4 linked regions of the Arabidopsis thaliana genome follow. The protein of the gene in region 3 binds, or shares a complex with, the protein of the main gene of each other region. Each region holds a gene or a part of one and is shown on either strand. Other genes may lie near its edges. The genes, in order: AT5G65274, ARPC1A, ARP2 and ARPC3.

Region 1 (2,830 bases), on a different chromosome or scaffold from region 3:
TAATCTCCGACCTCTCCCGGAACTTTTAGCTACTTCAATTGCTTGAACTTAGATCTCGTAAGATTTTACTGTTTCTCTAGATCTGGAAGATGATAGGTCTGCTTAGGATTTCGAATTCTAGTAAAGCTTACTGATCTGTATACGAAATTGGGAGGATCTGAAGTAAAATGGTAGAATCATTGAGAATTTGGGATTGGGATTTCAAAATTATGTATAGACTAGAATTATGTATATTACTATTCCAATGTTATTAAGCTTCTATAATTTTATGATTGGTACAAATTTGGACACTTTTGTTATACATTTCCCAGTGATGCTTCATCAACTTTATACATTCACTGATCTTTAATGAGTAAGCTAACCACCACATTTCATGCTTATCATATGCTTACATTGTATATCTTTCTATATGTGTGGTATTGGTTGAAACAGATACAGAGCAGTAACAAGTGCATATTACCGAGGAGCGGTTGGGGCGATGTTGGTGTATGACATAACCAGACGCCAAACCTTTGACCATATCCCAAGATGGTTAGAAGAACTACGTGCTCATGCAGATAAGAACATTGTGATAATCCTTATTGGGAACAAGTCAGATCTTGTGGATCAACGAGCTATACCGACAGAAGATGCGAAAGAATTTGCGGAGAAAGAAGGTTTGTTCTTCTTGGAGACATCTGCATTTAACGCAACCAATGTTGAGAGCGCTTTCTCCACGGTTTTGACTGAGATCTTCAACATTGTGAACAAGAAAAGTCTGGCTGCGAGTGAAGATCAAGAGAATGGTAATCCCGGGTCGCTTGCTGGTAAGAAGATTGATATTGTTCCAGGTCCTGGTCAAGTGATACCAAACAAGAGTAACATGTGTTGTAACTCTTAGATAAACCAATTCAATTCTTGAATGTTACTTGATAACAACAATATATAGATGTTTTAAAGACTCTGATTGGGATATTTCTCCTATCTAGAGCTGTGTGATTCATTTGTTGCTTAATGAGCAGTTTTTGTGGGGTTTTGGGGTGTTGAATCCAAGTATAACAAACCGATCTTAATTTGATCTTAAAAATTGGATATTAATTTGATCAACATGTTTTTATTCTCTCTACATTTGTAAGATTATTGTTACATTTTTGTTAATTACAAATATATACCAGCAATAACAACTTTTCTATTTCTCTTGTTACGTCAATGTGAAAAAGTAAAAATTAAAAACTGAAGCATCCGATTTTAATAATTGGTATCACAGTTCTGATAAATTCTCACTCGGCCGTTTTACCACTCGATTGCTTTATTCTCTCTAATTTCAGGTAATCTTCGAATCCTGCTTGATTCTTCAATCTTGTATGATTTGATCAGAAAGTTCAGGATTACTGATCTGATATGATGTGAGAAATCTGCGTACCATCGGCAATGGATTGTTTTACGTGATTAGAATTGATTTTGTCGTGATTGTTACTTCTCTTTTTAGCTTTTTATGGGGATGACAAGTTTTGCATTGCCTCCTTTGGTTAGTAAACTCAAATCATATGTTTCTTATGCAGCAAGTTGTCGATTTGAATGAAGAAATGAAATTAATTGATTAGGTTTTAGATAATTTTGCTGGAGAGTGTAGAGAAAGAGAGAGATCCAATGGCTGGTGCAGCAGCATTTGTTGAAGCTGATAATGCAGAGGAAATAATGGCAAGGATCGAAACCAAATCGCAGAAGATTGAAAGCTTACTCAAACAGTAATAACCCTAAAGTTCCTTTTTTCTTCCAACTTTCTCAGATGACCTAGGCTATAATTGTTACTTCGTTTTATTCAGCTACAAACATGTCGAAGCTCTTAAAACGGCTCTTGATGGTTCGCCACCTAAAACTCTCGACGAACGTTGCAAGGTCCTACTGTTTCCTCTACCATGCACATAAGTAGTTTGTTCATGATCAAAAAGATTGTGTAATTTATGATAAATATCTGTGAAATTGCAGTCAGCTAATTGGATAGTTGTGCACAGAGCTATCATGGCGATAAAGGATATCGAAGGAATGTTAAATTCTCTTACTGCCGAGTATTACGACATTCTCATGAAGTAAGTCTCTTGCCTTTTGCTCTGCTAGCTTTTAATTAGCGTGATGTGGAAGCAGTGTTTTGTTTGCTTAAATGGTGTGGATCAGGTACTTGTACAGAGGTCTTTCGACTGGTGACGAACCCACATGCGAACAGTGTTTGATGATTCACGAGAAACTAACAGAGAGAGCTGGTCTCGGTTGCATTCTCCGTTGTCTGAGTGATACTACCAATACCGTTTAAACCATTAAGCTGATCTTTTCATGTTACTTTTATTCTTGTTTTCTATGAATGTTTCTCCCAAATCTCAAGTTACTTCAATAGATTATAGAAAGTGGAATAAACCGGAGAACCTAAGATCCTTTCACAAAGAGATAGTCATAAAAGAACCTACGGTTACCTGGTTTTAAATTATATCTCATAACCAGGAAACTTAGAATCTACCGGCGACACAAGATCGAACCAGAGGCATACTGGTCCAGCTAGTCCCCGGAATAGCGAATAATCATGTTCTGTTTCTTGGCTTGTCATATTCACGAGCTCTATCGCATCACGGCACAAGTAACTCGCAAACGCTTTTGCTCTCTCTTCATATACAACATCTCCGGTTAAGCGATAAAGGGATAAGAAAGCGTAGGCATTACCAGCAACTCCATCAGCTAAACCTACCTTCTTCACCAAGCCACTCTTCCACACTACTTCTCCTGCTTCAATGGCTGCTTCGCGGAAATCCCTTTCCTTGGGAAACACCTGAGATGCTTTAGCCAAAGTAATGGCCATGCC
Region 2 (6,701 bases), on a different chromosome or scaffold from region 3:
GCAGGTGAAAGAGATAGCTGGATTTGTGTACAACCCAATAACAGGAAGATGGTTATTGTCAGATGATATTAGTGTCAACTATATTGCTTATGGGACGAAAAGGAAGGATCTTGGAGACATATAATCAATCGTTCCAAGTCGTGTTTCTCTGCATATCTGCTTCTGAGTTACAACTCTAGTTCATGCTTTAAAAACTAGGTACTCTGGAAGTTGCTTAGGACGAGGACAGTAGTTGTTTTGCAATAAGTGAGAAACATTCAAAGAATATTTGGTCTTCTGAATCACACTTCTGTCATCTGATAGAAGATTAATGTTTGTCGATATCTCGTTTTGTGGTAAATATGGCATAGTTCGGAGGACCAAAGCTTTTTGCTTCTTCTCAAGAACTTGAAAATTTTGCGAAATTGTTGTGTTTGGTTCAATATGGACTCCTTTCGACACAAAGCTGATATTACTATATATAAAAGGTATTACAAGATGCTAACTAAATGAATCAAATCATGAAGCCAAGAAACTTATTAATACCTGCCCTTACACAAACCAAGAAAATAAGGCCTTTTATTGTGGCAGTTTACAAAGTGAAACAATTACGAAATTGAAAAAGTAGTTTAAACTTAAGTAAAACCTTGCTTGTGAGCCAGAATTGTTTTATTTGTGTGTTTATTAAAACTGATTGCCAAGTTCTTGTTCCATGTTCTCCAGATCCCATATGGCAACTTTGCCATCCAATCCTATAAATAACAAACCGTTATGCGAGTAAATGAAACTGCTGGTTTGTTTTTTGAGAACTGAATCGGCTAATTCCATTTTGTATTAGTGACTGACCTGAAGTGCTGAATCGCATTACTTTAGGACTCCCTGCTTTGCTCAGAGACACAATGGAACTGCAATTTTCAGGTAACCTTCCATGTCAGGTTCTTAATAGACAATCGAAGTAAAAGAGTTAATGAGGCAGGTTTCTGGCAAATGATTTGGTAAAAGAAAAGTTAGCTTAAGAAATAATTACTTTATGCAGTTATCATGAACACCTCCACGTGATTCAGAAGCATCGTTGGCTGTTGTGGACTTTGATTGACTGCCGTAGAATTTTCCAAATGCTTCAGAAAACTGAAAAGATAACATAATGAAAAAAAGGATTAGACAAAACAGTACAAATAATGCAAGTGGAAAGTTCAAAGTAGTAAACCCAAGGAGAAAAAAGGAGCAACTACACTAACCCGAAAGATTACTACTATCTTAGAGGAACACTTCAGGAATAAGCTAAGTTCACTCATATTTTATTCAAGAAAGAAAACATGGTATGTACCTGCGAACTGTAACTGGAATTTGAAGATGCTGCTTTCTTCTCTCCGATGTATCTGATAAAGCTCCTGCAGACCATAAACAAAAACTTGTAAACAAGGCAATCATCGGTGTGTGGATGATTTCAGAAATAACTATCCGGCCTGAGAGCTAAGGAGAATTAATGAATTGAAGTATTTGATTGTCTGGAAATAGCTAAGAAAGAGAAAACTAAGAGTTACACACCATATTCCAGTATCATCTGAGGCAAATACCATCGGGTTGCTGTCATATCCCACGCCTATCACCATTTTCTCAGAAATAAACAGGACCTGAAGATAGCAAGTTCCCGATAATATATCAATTCAGGATATAACACATGAGAACACTTTCTCAAAAGAAAAAAAAGAGTGGATGCTGACCCACATCACGAAGAGGCAAATCTCGAAATGCAACGCTTTGGGCTAAAGGAGAAGGACCAACATCATCAACAAAGTAAATCATGGAGCTATGACCTATAAACAAGATTGCATGAACAAGGGAAGTGAGACGGAGTGTAGTAAAAATTATGCAACCAAGGTGAAGTTCCATTTTTATAATTCCAGTAGAGCTCAATGGACAAACATCTTAAGTTTTAAGGATATTCTGACCTACATAAGCTAAGGTGTTTCCACTTGGAGACCATTTAACACCAAATGCCCAAGAATATGAGAGATCAAGCTGAAGAATTTGCTGTTTCAACAGAAAAAAAGCTCCCTAACATTAGATAAGAGAGTGAGTAGAGGGAACATATATATGGCAGAAGTGGTATACTATTTACTAAAAGAAGGAAAGCCAGCCAAACGAGTCAAACCTCCCCAAATTTCGTTTCCGCTGGTGAGCCTGCTTTTGAATCCCTGTATCAGCCCATTGAAAGACAAATAAGAAACGGCCTCATGTTTGAAAAAATGTTTTAAAAGTAGACGTTCAAGTAATGAGCATACTTTGTGTCAACTCCTTTGATAAATGTTGAAAATACCCGACATTTTCCATCTGTTGATGTCGTTGCCAGAAGAACCTAATGCATAACAGACAATCAGAGAGCACAGCAACATAAAAAAGCATACGAGAAAAAATGATTTAGAAGATTAACTAGTTTGTGGAGATTGATATTCTATTTTTAGGGATCATGTACTCTATACTCAATCTGGTGGCCAACTTATAGAATATTTTTGGTAGAGAATGCTTTTACAGAGAGCCTGCTTATTATTTTAACTACATGAACTACAAGAGGTTCTGTTGATTGCACGTACATTATTAGGATGCCAAGCAACAGATGTGACTGAAGATTCGTGCCTTTTCCGGATTAGCTTACTGACCCACCTGAAAACAGTAAAGCCAAGCAATGTCAGATACTAAAAGTTTACATGAAAGTATCTTTCTAAAATCTCTAAACAATACACAGTTATGCATGCCAAGATAATAAAAAATATGATTGGTGCTAATATCATGCCAGTACATAAGACAAAATAATATCATTACATAGACCAACAACACCATTCGTAGCAAAGAAGTCAGGAAACTTGCCAAAGAAAAAATCAAGGACTAATAATGAGAATTAGGAGCAGAAGAAGAAAATACCAGTTATTCTCTTGCTCATAATAGCAAATACAAACAGTTTTAGCACCACTTCCAACAGCAAACTTGTTCTCTATGGGTATTGAGCAAAAAGATGAGAACATAGATTAGAAGCTGTAGAAATTATAGGAAAATTACACTACATATTACGGAAATTAAGCTTAAGAACCAGAAAAATTAAACATTTACCTTTGGGGCTCCATTGGACACAAAGTGCAGCACGATTTAGTCTAAGAATAACGAGAGTTGGTACCCATTCAGCTCCTTCCAGGCTCCAGACGTACCTTCAAGAAGCATTCTAAACTCAGTTCAACGAACGAAAAAAAGTGAAGGACTAAGATTAACAGGTTTGGAGTTTCTCAAAGTATATCAAAGGTAGCAACTTACGAGTTCCTGTCATGAGAAACAGTGACGATTTTGTTGGACTTTGAGCTCCAATCTATTCCAGAAACAATTTGGTCATGCTGCAACAAGACGAACAATAATCATGAAGTTGTTGTAAGGGAGATTCAAGCTGTCTATACAACACTTATCAGCGACAAGTGATCAGTGAAATGAGAATACATAAATATACGAAAGTAAGGAATTCCCAAGAAGAGAAAGCAAAAGGAATGCAAGTTCAAAAGTTACAGAAAGAGAGGGAGAGAGAAAGGTTTCACCTTTTGGAGGACATGTAACCTCTCCCAGTGGTCTTGAGACAATGATTTATAGATATGAACTTCAGTGTTGTTAGGACAGAGAGCAACCACTACCAAGAAAAACGAAACAAATGTCAAAGCACATAAATGGTTACAGGCTTTAGTACAGACGTTAAATCATTTGTAACAATAGATTTGGTTCATCTGTTTAGAAAAGCGCATCTACTAATGTACAATACTAGATACCAAGTGTTCCTAACAAGAGACACCGACAAACAGACATATAAAACATTGACTCGAAGAAATTTGATTACCAAGATGTATAAGAATAACACAAGTCAATTTAGTTGTATCATCTATCTATCTTCCCAGCCAAACTAACTATAGATAGATCCTCCTCATTTATAATTCTAAAACGGAAAAAACGACGGAAGAGAGAAAGAAGAGAATCACAAAATCAGAGAGGTGTTAGAAACATACTGGAGAGATCAGGACTCCAAGCATGGCAAGTGATTGACTCAGCGAAACGATGAACATCCACCACTGCCATGAGTGATCCTTGTTGTCCCAAATGTGTTGTAATGAAGACAGTCTTTTCTCTCAAATTGACATCCACAGATTCCTAAAACGGAGTCGTACGGTGAATAGATGGACAGATAATTATGATGAAACGCCGATGAGATCCGGAGGTGGACGACGACACAGTCGCAAACGTGAAGTGAAAGAGACAGATGTTTTTTTTTTTTTTTTTTTTTTTACTAAAGCCCCAATTTTTATGACCAGATCAATTTCAGTTTTACTTGGACCTTTATTTTTGGGCAAACCAGCATAATAATAAGGAAAAAATCGAATTATTTTTATTTTTAAATCTATAGTTCTGTAATCTGCATTAGTTTTGTTTTTGTTTTTTCCGATAAAAGGCTTAAGTTCTGCATTAGTTAAATACATTAATGTAGATAAATGGATTCGATCCAATTCATCCATGTAAAAATAGAACTATATCTCACTATGAGTCTATGAGTATAGAGTAACTTATAAAGTAATCTGAAATTTTTAAAAAAATATTGATTAGTAACTTTTTTCTAAAGTAATGTTTTACTATTAGTTTTTTCGTTTTTTTTTTTGTATAAGCTTTTGAATCATTGACCCAAGTCAAGGGGCTTGCACCACTATATTAGATTTTGATTTAGCATAATCCAAAAATAACTTAACCCCAAATCATTGTACAAAGTTATTATATAAGCTACGCTAGTTATCCCCTCTCGTGGAATAAGGTTTACTTCTAGTTTTGGTCTTCCTCTAATCTCTCACTTAGAGATTCAGGACACATATTTAGTCCATTCAATTATAACGAGATCATAAGGTTATATTCTTGCAAATTCTTCTCTTATAAATTGTTCGACCAGTCAAAGAATCTTGTTCTCATTTAAACATTTTGGTTGACAAATGAATTTGAAATTCTAAATAAACATGTTTATGACATAAAATAAATGTGTAAAACAACACAAACATGGTTAGGTCATAAATAAATGTATAAATCATATAATGAATTTAGTTTTGTGTCAAAACCATCAAAATTTTAAGAATGAAACAGCTCAGAATACAAGAGCTGGTTCCAGCTATCCGGGACTCCAGAGAGACACCAATGGCTACAATCCGCCATTCTGTGACCGCCAAAACCGTATACTGAAGGATGTCCATCTTTCCTTAGCTGAGACATCAATGTCACATCCATTAACCGCGCCTGATTCTTCATCGTCTTTATCACTTTCGCCACCACCATCTCGGCTGCGTGCGGCCCAGCCAGGTAACTCGATCCCATAATCGGCTTTGTTTCTCCTATGCAACTGCCTTTGCCACCTTGTTTCGACCATTCCCTTGCCCTGTAACATTATGTACCATTATTGTTAACAATATCAACATGAAATTATTTGGTTCTAACGAAAACTTATAGACTAATCCAACATATATCAATCGTGTTAAGTTTTTATCGTTGATTTAATGTATGTATCGAATAAAAAAGAAGTTATATAGAGGTAGAACTTACCGGCCATGGTCCGGAGAAATACCTTGGAAGAAGACTTTGGTTTTGGAAGGATCAATATTTTGATCAATCCACTTAGCCCAAGTCATCATTGCTTTCTCATATGCCACTAACCGGTCCATGTCTTTAACCGTTACATTCCCGGACATAATTGCGTCCCATCTGCAACCCCAAATGATTACATTAGTTAGATACTAATAAGTCCATAGTCCATAGCAAAATATGTTTGACGACATAAAGATGATTTTACGGTTGTTTTCGGTCTGTGTGAAGCCACCAATGCCAAGAGTTGAAGACCAAAACGTCTGCGGTTTTCCACAACGAACCACTCGAGATTGAGTCAAGCTTCATCACTCGCTTCGGTGGGGCTCCGACTATATCCACAAGAAACGCGTTTCTTGAAAACATAATCGAAGAATTGTAAGCCTGCATTGCATGCATTTAAATACGAACCGAACCAGAATTATTAAACCGGATCAATACCGGAACGAGTTTGATAAAGTTAGAAAACGTTACGGGGAATGAGAAGACGGAGAGGCCAGAAGGGGAACGTGTGGATGTGGAATTGGCTTTTGGTGCGGCGTTGTGGAGCAAACACGTGAGAGATTGCCATTGGTTTAGACTCAGTGAATCTCCTACGAACATCAGTTTCTTCCCTTTCATTATCCTTCCCAGAAAATCTAAGCCGTTGAATCTGCACCATTCATCATTAATCAATTTAACACTTCTATATCATTCATAGGAGAAAATATTCACGTTTAATAATTTACCACAAAATGGTTGGGTACTTCCGTTAATTTGTAACATTTTGTGACTTATTGTCTTTGTAACAGTTTTATTCCAATAAATGATAGTTATGGATTTATGTACCAGCTGCTTCGGTTACTAAATTCTATAACATTCTTACATAGTTACATATGAACTTATATGCGACATAAAAGGGGATTTGAATCCAATAATAAATCCTAATTAAAAACCTATTAATCCCCCTCAAGAAATACTAAAGACGTTTTTGAAAATGAAATTTTCCGATACAATGCTAGTTGATGCCCAAGTCGTCCTGAAGTATAGTGGTACTCATAGCAATTCACCTATGACTAGTTACATGCCTTAAAAGTTAA
Region 3 (5,712 bases):
GTTTTCCGATAATGTCTCCAAAACTCGCCGGAGAAGTTTGAGCAGTTTGGAAATAATCTTCGTCGTGGTTAGATTTGGATGAACCACCGGGTGATTTCTCTATAACTTTATGGGCCTATATCTCTTTATTGGGCCAACGCTCATAATGTTTTATATGTCGTTGAGGTAGTTTAACAGTCACCAACACCAACGTTTCTGACACGGTGTTGCCGTTATTGGGCCAAAGCCCATATTAAGACCTCAAAAAGTTTTTACAGTTTTTTATTTTGGGATTGTAAATCAGTTTTTTTTGTTTCTAGTTAATTTAAAAGTTTTCAAATCCTTTTTTACTCATGGCAGGTTAGGTAATCATTTTGTCTTTGATCTAGCTTGAAGCTGCTGTACTTAGACTAGCTGCAGAACATGCAGTAGAAGGAAGCTGGTTCCATCAATTCAGAGTTGTGGCAATCTTTTGGGTTTTAACAGAAAACAATAGGGATCTACCTTGTGTGGCAAGAAATAGGGTTCCTTTTCAAAATTACAAATAATCTTTCACTGTTTTGACTCTGTTTGCTTACTCAAGAATTAAGATATATGCATTTCGTCTCTTCTCGACCTTTTGGCTTTGGTTATTACACAATATATTAGTCTCAACATTATTAGTTAATACACGTTTTTCTGTATATCCCACCAATCACATGTCGAATTTTGGATCCCTAACTGCAACCAATTGTACTCAAACTTTGAAACCTAAAATACTGAATTCACAAACGGAATTAAATCATCCTGACGGTAGTAAAAAAAAGGGGTACAAGTACAAGTATGAGTTCTGCGTTTGAAAGTTATTAAGCTTGGCTCATTTTATTCAAACAATTAATTCCTTCTTCCATATAGTCCTCTCTATTGATCCAGAACTCTGGTGCGTCCTGCAACATCGAATCCAAATTCTCTTAACATCATAACACAGACTAAAATTTCATGCTTTCGTGTTAAAAGAGAGAATAGCATTGAACTTTTCTCTTACCTTCATGATTCCTGCAAGAACAGCACCTCCGAGGTATACCATGTGTTTCCTTCTCGGTGGATCTTCGATCCGCAATCTGAGTTTCTGATTGATAAGAAAAACGAAGATAAATGTTAAAAACTGAGCTAATGACTGACAGTGATCATGGCATTATCAGAATCATCTTTTTTACCTTCAAGCCATCTTTGTTTCCTTTTAGAACTGTGTCGAGATACCGATCCTGTATTTCTTTCTCAAGACTGAAACAAACAGAGAATAAAAGACAATGAAACATAAAACAATGGAACTTCTTGCTGGGTTATGATGAAGAAAAAATATACGAACCGGCTAGGTAATCCTGGGTACATGGTGCTACCTCCGCTTAAAACTATGTGTTGGTAGAGCTGTGAAAAAAGAGCAAAGGGTTTAAGACAGATAAATGATTAGTTTTGTTGGATCTTTCTTTTGAAATACCAAGCAAGCGTAAGAGTCACACGAACCATCATGCGGTTATCAATATCCATTTCTTGAATACATCGGAAAACCATGTCTGCCATTCCATCACCTTCAACATCAATGAGTTCCTGAAAAAATATTTGGTTGTGATCAGCCTCGAGATTCTTGGAGGGTTGAAACTATTCCAAAAGAGAAATTAGCAGAGGACGCGATGAAGGTTTACCGGAGTAAAAAGCGCTTCAGGTGCTTGGAATCTTTCAGTGCCTACTTTGATAACCCTCCCATCTGGAAGCTGATCACAGTTCAAAAACACAACGGGTTAGTACTCTGGAAAAAAAATAATTTGGTGATAATATCAGCTTTAGAGGCTGCAACTGGCACAAGTATGAAACTTTATCGACTATCGGATGAAAAATCCCAAACACAGCGCCCAAGAACAGAGAAACGATGTCATGAAAAGAAAAGATGATAATATCATTCTTTCATTACCAAAAAGAACAAAGGAATGATGGCACGAATCTTTAAAGTTCTCTACAGGCTCAAGTTCGCCAAGAATCTGCTATCTATTTAGTTCTGATCATGAGTTTGGATTCCTATTAGCTTAACGTACACTAGTTTCTGTTTCTTGCCTCTATTTGCCATCGAAACCTTGAAAATTCACACACCTGACAGGTTCATACCAGGAGAGAGACTTACAGTATAATTCTTAACAAGGATAGTTGTCTCAAGGCCAAGCTGAGATTCTCTCTTGTAATCATAACTGCAAAAAAAGACAAAACAAATTGTGTTTATTTCCTATTCTAGTAATGCATTACTACACAGATATTAGAGGAAAGCTGAGAAGAGGTCTTTGCATGCCTTATATAGCAGAGCTTCTCTTTAATTTCCCTAACCGTCTCAAAGTCAGCTGTTTTGTTCATCGCATATCTGTTGAACAAACAGTCTTTTAGTTTAGCTAATTTAAAACATCTCAACATCATTAAAATGAATGTGAGTCTATGAATCAGTTTCTCACCCTCGTCGAGATAGTAGATCAACGAGATATGCTGTTATGTGTCTGCCAGCAACATTCATTCTTTTAGTAAGATGAGGGAACGAGTAGCCGTCAACCACCGGAACCTAAGATGTGAGGCGAAGACGGTTAACTTCTCTATTATAAGCAATATATGATCTAAAAAATTACAGAGGTTTATAGCTTACCACATGAGTAACACCATCACCAGAATCAATAACCAAACCAGTTAGCAAACCTGAAACCAAGAGTTCAACACATGAAGAAAAATATCAGGGAAGCACACATAAATGCTATTTACAGGTGACTATCTAAACACACGAAAGAAAATCTAAACCTTCAATAGTCTCCATAAGCACCTTGAGCATAGAGAGTCAAAACGGCTTGGATTTGAATGAAAACGCCAGCGAAATTGTATTTCTCAAACATTGTCTCAATCTGTTTTATAACATAAAATAAATCACTGCTCCAACAACCATCAAAGCAACTCTTAACCAAAGACTTGATAATATCTTACCATTTTTTCACGATTCTTGGACGGATTAAGAGGTGGATCCGTGAGCAATATCTTACAGTCAGATGGATTGATCTGTTAATAACAAAAAGGGTTTAAGAGTAAGTCAAGACACATGGAACCGAGACAAAAATGGCAAGAAGAAGCAGGAGAAGAAACTTACTTTCAATTCGTTATAGAAAGCATGATCCCAAACATGTTCCATATCATCCCAATTCTGCACAATACCATTGTGGACAGGATAATTTATATCCAATTGATGCCGGAGCTCAGAGCAAGTCTCCCCAACAACTATATCCTAAAATGAAACAAAACCAAAACGTATATGAATCCGAATTACGCATATCAGCTCAGTCAAAACTCAAAAGGCTAACAATGATCTGGTTTTGCTTATTTAAAGTCACATATCTACAAACCTTGACTTGTTGCTCCATGAGTGATTCTTCATACCGAAGCAATGGCCTTCCCACGACACAGGGGAAAACAGACGTTGGGAAATTCTCTCCAGCAAATCCACATTTTACATACTGAAAAATTTAATAAGAGGCTCACAATTTGTTCCCATCACAAGAAACTCAAAACTTAAGCAACCCATTATGAGATTTCTCATGTATTAGTTTTGATTTCAATAGAAACACGATCTTACACTATGCTAAGACATGAAAGTTTTCAAATTTTGCAACTTTAAGACAACTAGATCCTAAACAAACTCAAAAGTGAGATTTTTAACGAAACCCAGATAGGAATGGAATGATTGATCAGATTCAACTAAAGTTCGGAGTCTGAAACAAGAGATATCAGAGAGAAGAAGCTTACACCGGTGCCGTTGTCGCAAACGACGACGTTTTTGTTGTCCATCTTCTCCGATTTCTATAGAGACTACAGATTTTTATCGAAGTACAAAAATTTCGATTTCTTCGATTCGATCTCTCAGGGAACAAAAGAAAAAACCTGTCTTTGAATCGAAGCGAAGAATCACTCTTCTCTACTTGTTTGGTCGCGATCGAGAAAACATATTTGCTCTTCGACAAACAAAAAGCAGCTGTTTCCTCGTTTCTTTATAAGAATGCGCGTCGTTTACTCTACGTGAAAACGTCACGTAGTGCAAACGGTCAATACATAGAAAAAATTATTAAATACGTTACCCCTTTTCTCGAATTATTGAGATGGAGTTAACTTGGTTGTGGGTATTGATGGGCTATCTCAGGCCCATATTAGGTCAAACAGATAATTCTGTTTACTTGTATAACAATCTTCTAGATGATCTAAACTAAGAATTAGTAAATGATCATCATGCAATCCCTTGATCAGAGATTTCAATCACTATTAGGGTTATGTTACGAGAAAGATGTTACTAGGGTTTTGGTACGAAGTTGGGATATCAATCTTCTTCTAGGTTTTTTTGTTGTCTCTATGTTGTCTCAATACTAAAATTTATTCTACATAACATGTTGTAAATTAAGTTCCTGTCACAACATGTTATGTATCAGTCACCAATATAGTAAAAATAAGATAAGACTTTTACAGTTTCACACACACAAGTCCAATGACTTGTTCGATGTAAAATCAGCTTTCATGTTTTCACTTTTATATAGGTTAATTAGGACACACACTGTCTCTCATGCTTACTGGAACATTGCTAAGCTGCTTTATTTAGTTCTGGTAAGAACAAAACTGCATGTCTTAGACCTCAAAGTAACCACGCGTTTCATCTTCACTTCTGTATATTGAAATGGAAGAATTCGTAGACAAGTCAAGCTCCTTGCCCAATGTGTCGAAGAGAATGGAAATTAAAAGAGTAAGCAACTTAAGTCACGCTCTCATCATGAGGGAGGCTTTGGAATGGATCTATTGGAGTTGTATTTGGACCATAGTGTTGAGTTAGATCATTGCTCAAAAGGGAAAGAGAGAGCTTTGTGAATGTTTTTGAATTTTCTTCACTTGTTTTGATTGGTTGGACAAATCATAGAGATCAAGCAACTTTTTGACTCGTTAACCTCTCTCTCTCTCTCTCTCTTAGTCTCTTTCCTTAGTTCCGTCAAATTCAAGTCAAAATGAGTAAAATGATATAAACTTTTTGACTCGTTGAACAATTTATACTTATCTTTGAAAAAGCTTGCAAGGCAAAGAGTAAATGCAATACCAGCTTATTTGGTTCCCAACTGCGAAGGGTTTGTACCTAGTTCAAAACCTTCCCACAGTTAACGGCACACTCAGGGCAATAACATGAATGTAAGTAAGAGTTAAAGAATACAACGTTACCATCATTGTGAAATCCATTGCAGCTCAAAGCCACTGAATCAGAACATGCAGCGAAGTGTTTTACACTCGACTCTAAACGAAAGTCTTTAACTCATTCAGAGAGATCGAACGAAAGAGAACAATCTTTGGAGATGCAATAGAAGAATACTGAGCAAAAGAGAGCTATAAATCTTCATTCTACAAATATGTGATGGAAGACAAGTATACATTACCATTGTTGTACTATCTGAAAAAAGCCGGTTTCTTGATATTCAAAAGCAACAAAACTCAGAACAAGTAAAAACAAGCCTCTCTGCAACTTAAAGACTCCAAACAAAAAAATCTCTGGCTGTGTGTATTCAACAAACTCCACCTGCAAGTTCAAACAACAACTGCCAAAAAATTGTCACAAACACTCGGAAAAAAAGGTTTGAAGATTCCACTCTCTTGTATCATCATCCTCAAATTGAACTCACCTTGTGTTTTTGCAGAGGTTTCAATAAGTAT
Region 4 (3,750 bases), on a different chromosome or scaffold from region 3:
AACAAAAGAAGCAAGGGACCTTGTCGTAGCCCATGGAGCCGATGCTTACCCTTTTACTGAGGAACGTTTGAAGGAGATTGAAGCTAAGTACGATGAGATAGCAAAAGATTGGCCTAAGAAGGTGAAACATGTTCTCCATGAAGAACATGAGCTAGAACTAACTCGTGTTCAGGTTTACACATGCGATAAGTGTGAGGAAGAAGGGACAATATGGTCTTACCATTGCGACGAATGCGACTTTGATCTTCACGCCAAGTGTGCTTTAAACGAGGACACAAAAGAAAACGGCGATGAGGCTGTGAAAGTTGGTGGCGACGAGTCCAAAGATGGTTGGGTTTGTGAAGGAAACGTATGCACCAAGGCCTGATAGGTAGCTTCAGGCACAGTTATGTCACTATGTGTATGCAAAGCTATTTCCTTTCTTTGTATAATTGCTAAGAGTGAGAATGTGTGGTTACAATCTGATATCTGATTAAGACCTTGGAGATAAACTCTGTTAATCTAAAGTAATAATAAAAGAATCTTCTTATTTAACTTTGATCTTGTATCAACAAATTTTATATTCCAACAGGAGTTGTATGAAACAATACATTGGCACACTCTATGTATATATCAAGAGATACAGAGAGAGAGCATTCTGCTCTCAGATGAAATTTTCGTCTTCCTGGTTCCAGTGGCTAACACCTATGCAGAGGAAGCTAAAGGTGGCGATTCTCATGATCTCCAGTGGCTTTGGATTCCCTCATTCGTAATGGGCAGCAAGCAAGGAAGAATAACCAGCTGCTAAATTATGAAAAAATCAGATCAAAAGAAAAACATTTTAAGCTTGAAATGTAGAACTGTTTGAGATGGATCTAAGATCACGTGGGATTTTGGATCCAGTAAACTAAAGTGATACTTACCAGTGATTCTCTGTTTTATCATAGGACGACCACGTTCATGAATTTCCTCTTGGCGAATGCAAGCCACCATTTATTTGGTGTCCCGTTGGCTCTATATGCTACACTCAGTAACCTCCCACTTGTCTCCTCTCGAACCTGCTTAAGATAGTTCCTGAAAAGCTCTGACATTTGAAGCCAAACAGAACACAAGGCTAAGGACCAAGTAACTGAAAGAAAAATCAATAAGAGTTGTTTAGACATGTATATATACCTGCTTCGTCCTGGGACTGCGGAAGCGAAAAGAGACCTGGGAAAGGAAAGCCAGTTTCTCCAGGAACAGGAATATCTTCTAAACCCAAGTTGATAATCGCTTTAGTTCCAACAGCCAATGTTCTACAGCCTTCAAGCCTCTTTAACGCCACATTTATATAAAACGTCAAGTAAATAAGGAGCTTATCAGCAGGACTTTTGATATCAAAGTTTGTGAAGAAGACATTAGCACGAAAGAAGGTGATTGCCTCGTCTACTATATCAGTTTTATCTGCATATAAAACCAACAATTTACAAAAGCTTTCGATCGCACAATTGAAAAAAATCACATGTTTTGATTAATTACCTTGTTCTGAAACAGGTGCAGGACCTTTTATATGACTCTTGAGAGGAAGCAATGGACAACCACATGCCTTTGTTACTCCTTCTTCATCCACAAAACTCGAGTGATAAACCTGATCAGAGCATTTAATCACAAGGATTAAGGAAACAAAATGAGCATCGCAGAGTTAAATACTCCATGGAACCAAATCAAAGTGAAACAAGCTCAATAAATAAAAAAAATCTCATCGAAGATCTAATCTAATTTCATTAGTTACAAAATGAAATGCGATTAATGCTAATTGAAAGATAAGAAAATGGTGATCCGTACCATTTTGTGCCGAATTTGAACAATGAAGCGATATCAGGAAGGAGAAGAATCGAATCGAAGGTAGATCTGCTGCAATTAAGATCTTGGATATATAAGAATCAGAATTTAGGTGAACGATTGATTCTATAGATGAAGAAAGAAAAAGTTTTTACCTAAACGAGATCAGATCAATTTCAACTTCTTTAGCGTCTACGAAAGAGGAAAGACTGCGTAAAGTTCACACGGTGAAGAATCCTTCGTGATGTTGCGGCGGTCGGAGATTGTCTTATTGGGAAGCTTAATCGCCGGCTGAAGAAGAAATTGAAATGGAAAATCGACGAAGTAGGAAAAAGGAATGAAGAACAGAAGAAGAAGAAGACAGAGAGGTATGGATGACACGTGTAAGACTCCATGAATGTGGTACATTGCTTCGTACCGGGAGTAACCAATGTTAAATCCGGCTTAGCTTTGATTTTTGAGTTTCTCGGTTTTTTTATTTGAAATTTGGTTTCTTATCGACCACTGGAATTAGGTACATCAAAAACCAAATAATGATGTGGTTCATTCTTCGGTTCAGTTTCGGGTTACATCAAAGTGGTTTGACCGGATTAAACATTGATCTTCAATCAACAACAACAACAAAATGTCCATATAAGTGTCAAGTTTCTGTTATTTCTGCTGAATGGATAAAAACTTGTTACATAAGCAATATACAAAACTTAGTAAACAAAGGCTAAACAGAAATGCACAAATACTTGCAATGCACCGGACTAAACCGAGATTTAAAGAAGCTCTAGTGAGATTTAATAAGTGTGTTTGATTCTTTGTGTGATATATAGTACAAGTTACATTGGTCATACATGAATATTAATACGTGAATCATCTTACATAAATGTGTCTAACATTCAACAAACTAGTAATGAGCAGCTCTTGACTCAAACAGTTGATTAAACATATTTCTACACTGAATTGATAATAATACAACTGGTGATAACTAAACTAAATTGATGCTACATTCTATGGTCTCGCTTTCGTTTAAATTTGAAGTTACTGGGATGTGCCGAAAGTTATGACCTGAACAGTTGAGAATTGCTCTTTGCACAGTGTGATGATGCGGTTTTAAATCGTTATGGCTCTGGTCATTGTAGCTCGTGAAAGCGCCTAATGCTCCAAGAAACCCTTCATGTCGTAAAAACATTGCCTTTGCCTCACCTCTCGACCTGAAATGAGAAGGAAAAATGAGAAAGTTCGATAAAGATTTTGTGGACATACATGAGTTTAAGATATGGAGGGATTTGATTAAGTAGTTTCGGTTTTGGATTTACCAAAAGTGAACAGCAACGGAGATTGTGTCCATGGTGTACTCAAGCCCACGGATGAAAAATCCACCAAAGAAAATACGCTTAAGACCGAATCTGAGAGCATTCAAATAAGCAATCTGGAGGGAGAGTAGAAAACGTTACAATTCGATCAGAATATCATCAGCTTCAAATTATGTTTTAAAATGGCATTAAAATGTTCAGAGGAACTGACCTGACCGATGTTATTTGATATCATTCTTAGAAGGGACCTTGCCACATCTTCTGGCTGGTAATCTTCAAGTTCTTTACCATCAGAAATCGCTTTCCCAAAGCTGGAAGCGATAGCTGTTGAGGAGAGACCAATCTATCAAAAAAGAATGAACAAAAGGTTATATTAACATATGAATCTAATCTAAAAGTCTTCAGACATGTTTAAGCAAAACCAGGATCAATCAATTACCTTTGAATAATCTGTTCCACCGTAGATATCCCCCACAAGCATGTCAATTACTCTGTTATTTCCATGGTGGCTTAACTCTAGCAGCTCATCAAAACTGAAATTAAGAAATATTAGTTGTTACTCAGGCAAGGAGGAAACTTACATTAATAGACTTAACTAAGAAGTCACCTCTTGCATTTTGTTAAAAGCTTCCCAAGACCTAAAAAT

The links.
Region 1: ARP2 (region 3) and AT5G65274 share a complex: the UniProt entries of both Arabidopsis thaliana proteins name them as parts of the arp2/3 complex.
Region 2: ARP2 (region 3) and ARPC1A share a complex: the UniProt entries of both Arabidopsis thaliana proteins name them as parts of the arp2/3 complex.
Region 4: ARP2 (region 3) and ARPC3 share a complex: the UniProt entries of both Arabidopsis thaliana proteins name them as parts of the arp2/3 complex.

The regions. Positions count from the first base shown.
Region 1 is NC_003076.8:26,083,671-26,086,500, forward strand, and holds AT5G65274 (ARP2/3 complex 16 kDa subunit (p16-Arc)), read left to right. Parts: upstream 1-1,629; coding exon 1,630-1,727; intron 1,728-1,805; coding exon 1,806-1,878; intron 1,879-1,922; exon of another isoform or gene 1,923-1,968; coding exon 1,969-2,069; exon of another isoform or gene 2,070-2,154; coding exon 2,155-2,290; downstream 2,291-2,830. Other genes in the region: RABA4a (RAB GTPase homolog A4A), read left to right, coding at 433-880; GCL1 (GCR2-like 1), read right to left, coding at 2,459-2,830. UniProt on the Arabidopsis thaliana protein: Functions as a component of the Arp2/3 complex which is involved in regulation of actin polymerization and together with an activating nucleation-promoting factor (NPF) mediates the formation of branched actin networks.
Region 2 is NC_003071.7:13,150,832-13,157,532, reverse strand, and holds ARPC1A (actin-related protein C1A), read right to left. Parts: upstream 4,745-6,701; 5' UTR 4,636-4,744; intron 4,361-4,635; exon of another isoform or gene 4,295-4,360; 5' UTR 4,087-4,294; coding exon 4,017-4,086; intron 3,647-4,016; coding exon 3,558-3,646; intron 3,363-3,557; coding exon 3,286-3,362; intron 3,183-3,285; coding exon 3,088-3,182; intron 2,972-3,087; coding exon 2,902-2,971; intron 2,644-2,901; coding exon 2,574-2,643; intron 2,339-2,573; coding exon 2,265-2,338; coding exon of another isoform or gene 2,246-2,264; intron 2,178-2,245; coding exon 2,135-2,177; intron 2,038-2,134; coding exon of another isoform or gene 2,014-2,037; coding exon 1,932-2,013; intron 1,797-1,931; coding exon 1,708-1,796; intron 1,614-1,707; coding exon 1,528-1,613; intron 1,371-1,527; coding exon 1,307-1,370; intron 1,108-1,306; coding exon 1,007-1,107; intron 885-1,006; coding exon 826-884; intron 732-825; coding exon 664-731; 3' UTR 501-663; downstream 1-500. Other genes in the region: COQ3 (coenzyme Q 3), read left to right, coding at 5-124; TBL43 (TRICHOME BIREFRINGENCE-LIKE 43), read right to left, coding at 5,116-5,419, 5,584-5,742, 5,831-6,006, 6,097-6,274. UniProt on the Arabidopsis thaliana protein: Functions as a component of the Arp2/3 complex which is involved in regulation of actin polymerization and together with an activating nucleation-promoting factor (NPF) mediates the formation of branched actin networks.
Region 3 is NC_003074.8:9,951,963-9,957,674, forward strand, and holds ARP2 (actin related protein 2), read right to left. Parts: upstream 4,021-5,712; 5' UTR 3,823-4,020; coding exon 3,781-3,822; intron 3,492-3,780; coding exon 3,381-3,491; intron 3,263-3,380; coding exon 3,128-3,262; intron 3,040-3,127; coding exon 2,968-3,039; intron 2,889-2,967; coding exon 2,810-2,888; intron 2,689-2,809; coding exon 2,639-2,688; intron 2,558-2,638; coding exon 2,454-2,557; intron 2,366-2,453; coding exon 2,297-2,365; intron 2,199-2,296; coding exon 2,135-2,198; intron 1,731-2,134; coding exon 1,662-1,730; intron 1,567-1,661; coding exon 1,483-1,566; intron 1,387-1,482; coding exon 1,328-1,386; intron 1,243-1,327; coding exon 1,176-1,242; intron 1,088-1,175; coding exon 1,004-1,087; intron 906-1,003; coding exon 825-905; 3' UTR 517-824; downstream 1-516. UniProt on the Arabidopsis thaliana protein: Functions as ATP-binding component of the Arp2/3 complex which is involved in regulation of actin polymerization and together with an activating nucleation-promoting factor (NPF) mediates the formation of branched actin networks.
Region 4 is NC_003070.9:22,263,877-22,267,626, forward strand, and holds ARPC3 (actin-related protein C3), read right to left. Parts: upstream 2,201-3,750; 5' UTR 1,956-2,200; intron 1,886-1,955; exon of another isoform or gene 1,873-1,885; 5' UTR 1,807-1,872; coding exon 1,804-1,806; intron 1,607-1,803; coding exon 1,498-1,606; intron 1,423-1,497; coding exon 1,153-1,422; coding exon of another isoform or gene 1,121-1,152; intron 1,064-1,120; coding exon 921-1,063; 3' UTR 903-920; intron 781-902; 3' UTR 509-780; downstream 1-508. Other genes in the region: AT1G60420 (DC1 domain-containing protein), read left to right, coding at 1-367; PANK1 (pantothenate kinase 1), read right to left, coding at 2,777-3,002, 3,108-3,220, 3,316-3,447, 3,544-3,637, 3,712-3,750. UniProt on the Arabidopsis thaliana protein: Functions as a component of the Arp2/3 complex which is involved in regulation of actin polymerization and together with an activating nucleation-promoting factor (NPF) mediates the formation of branched actin networks.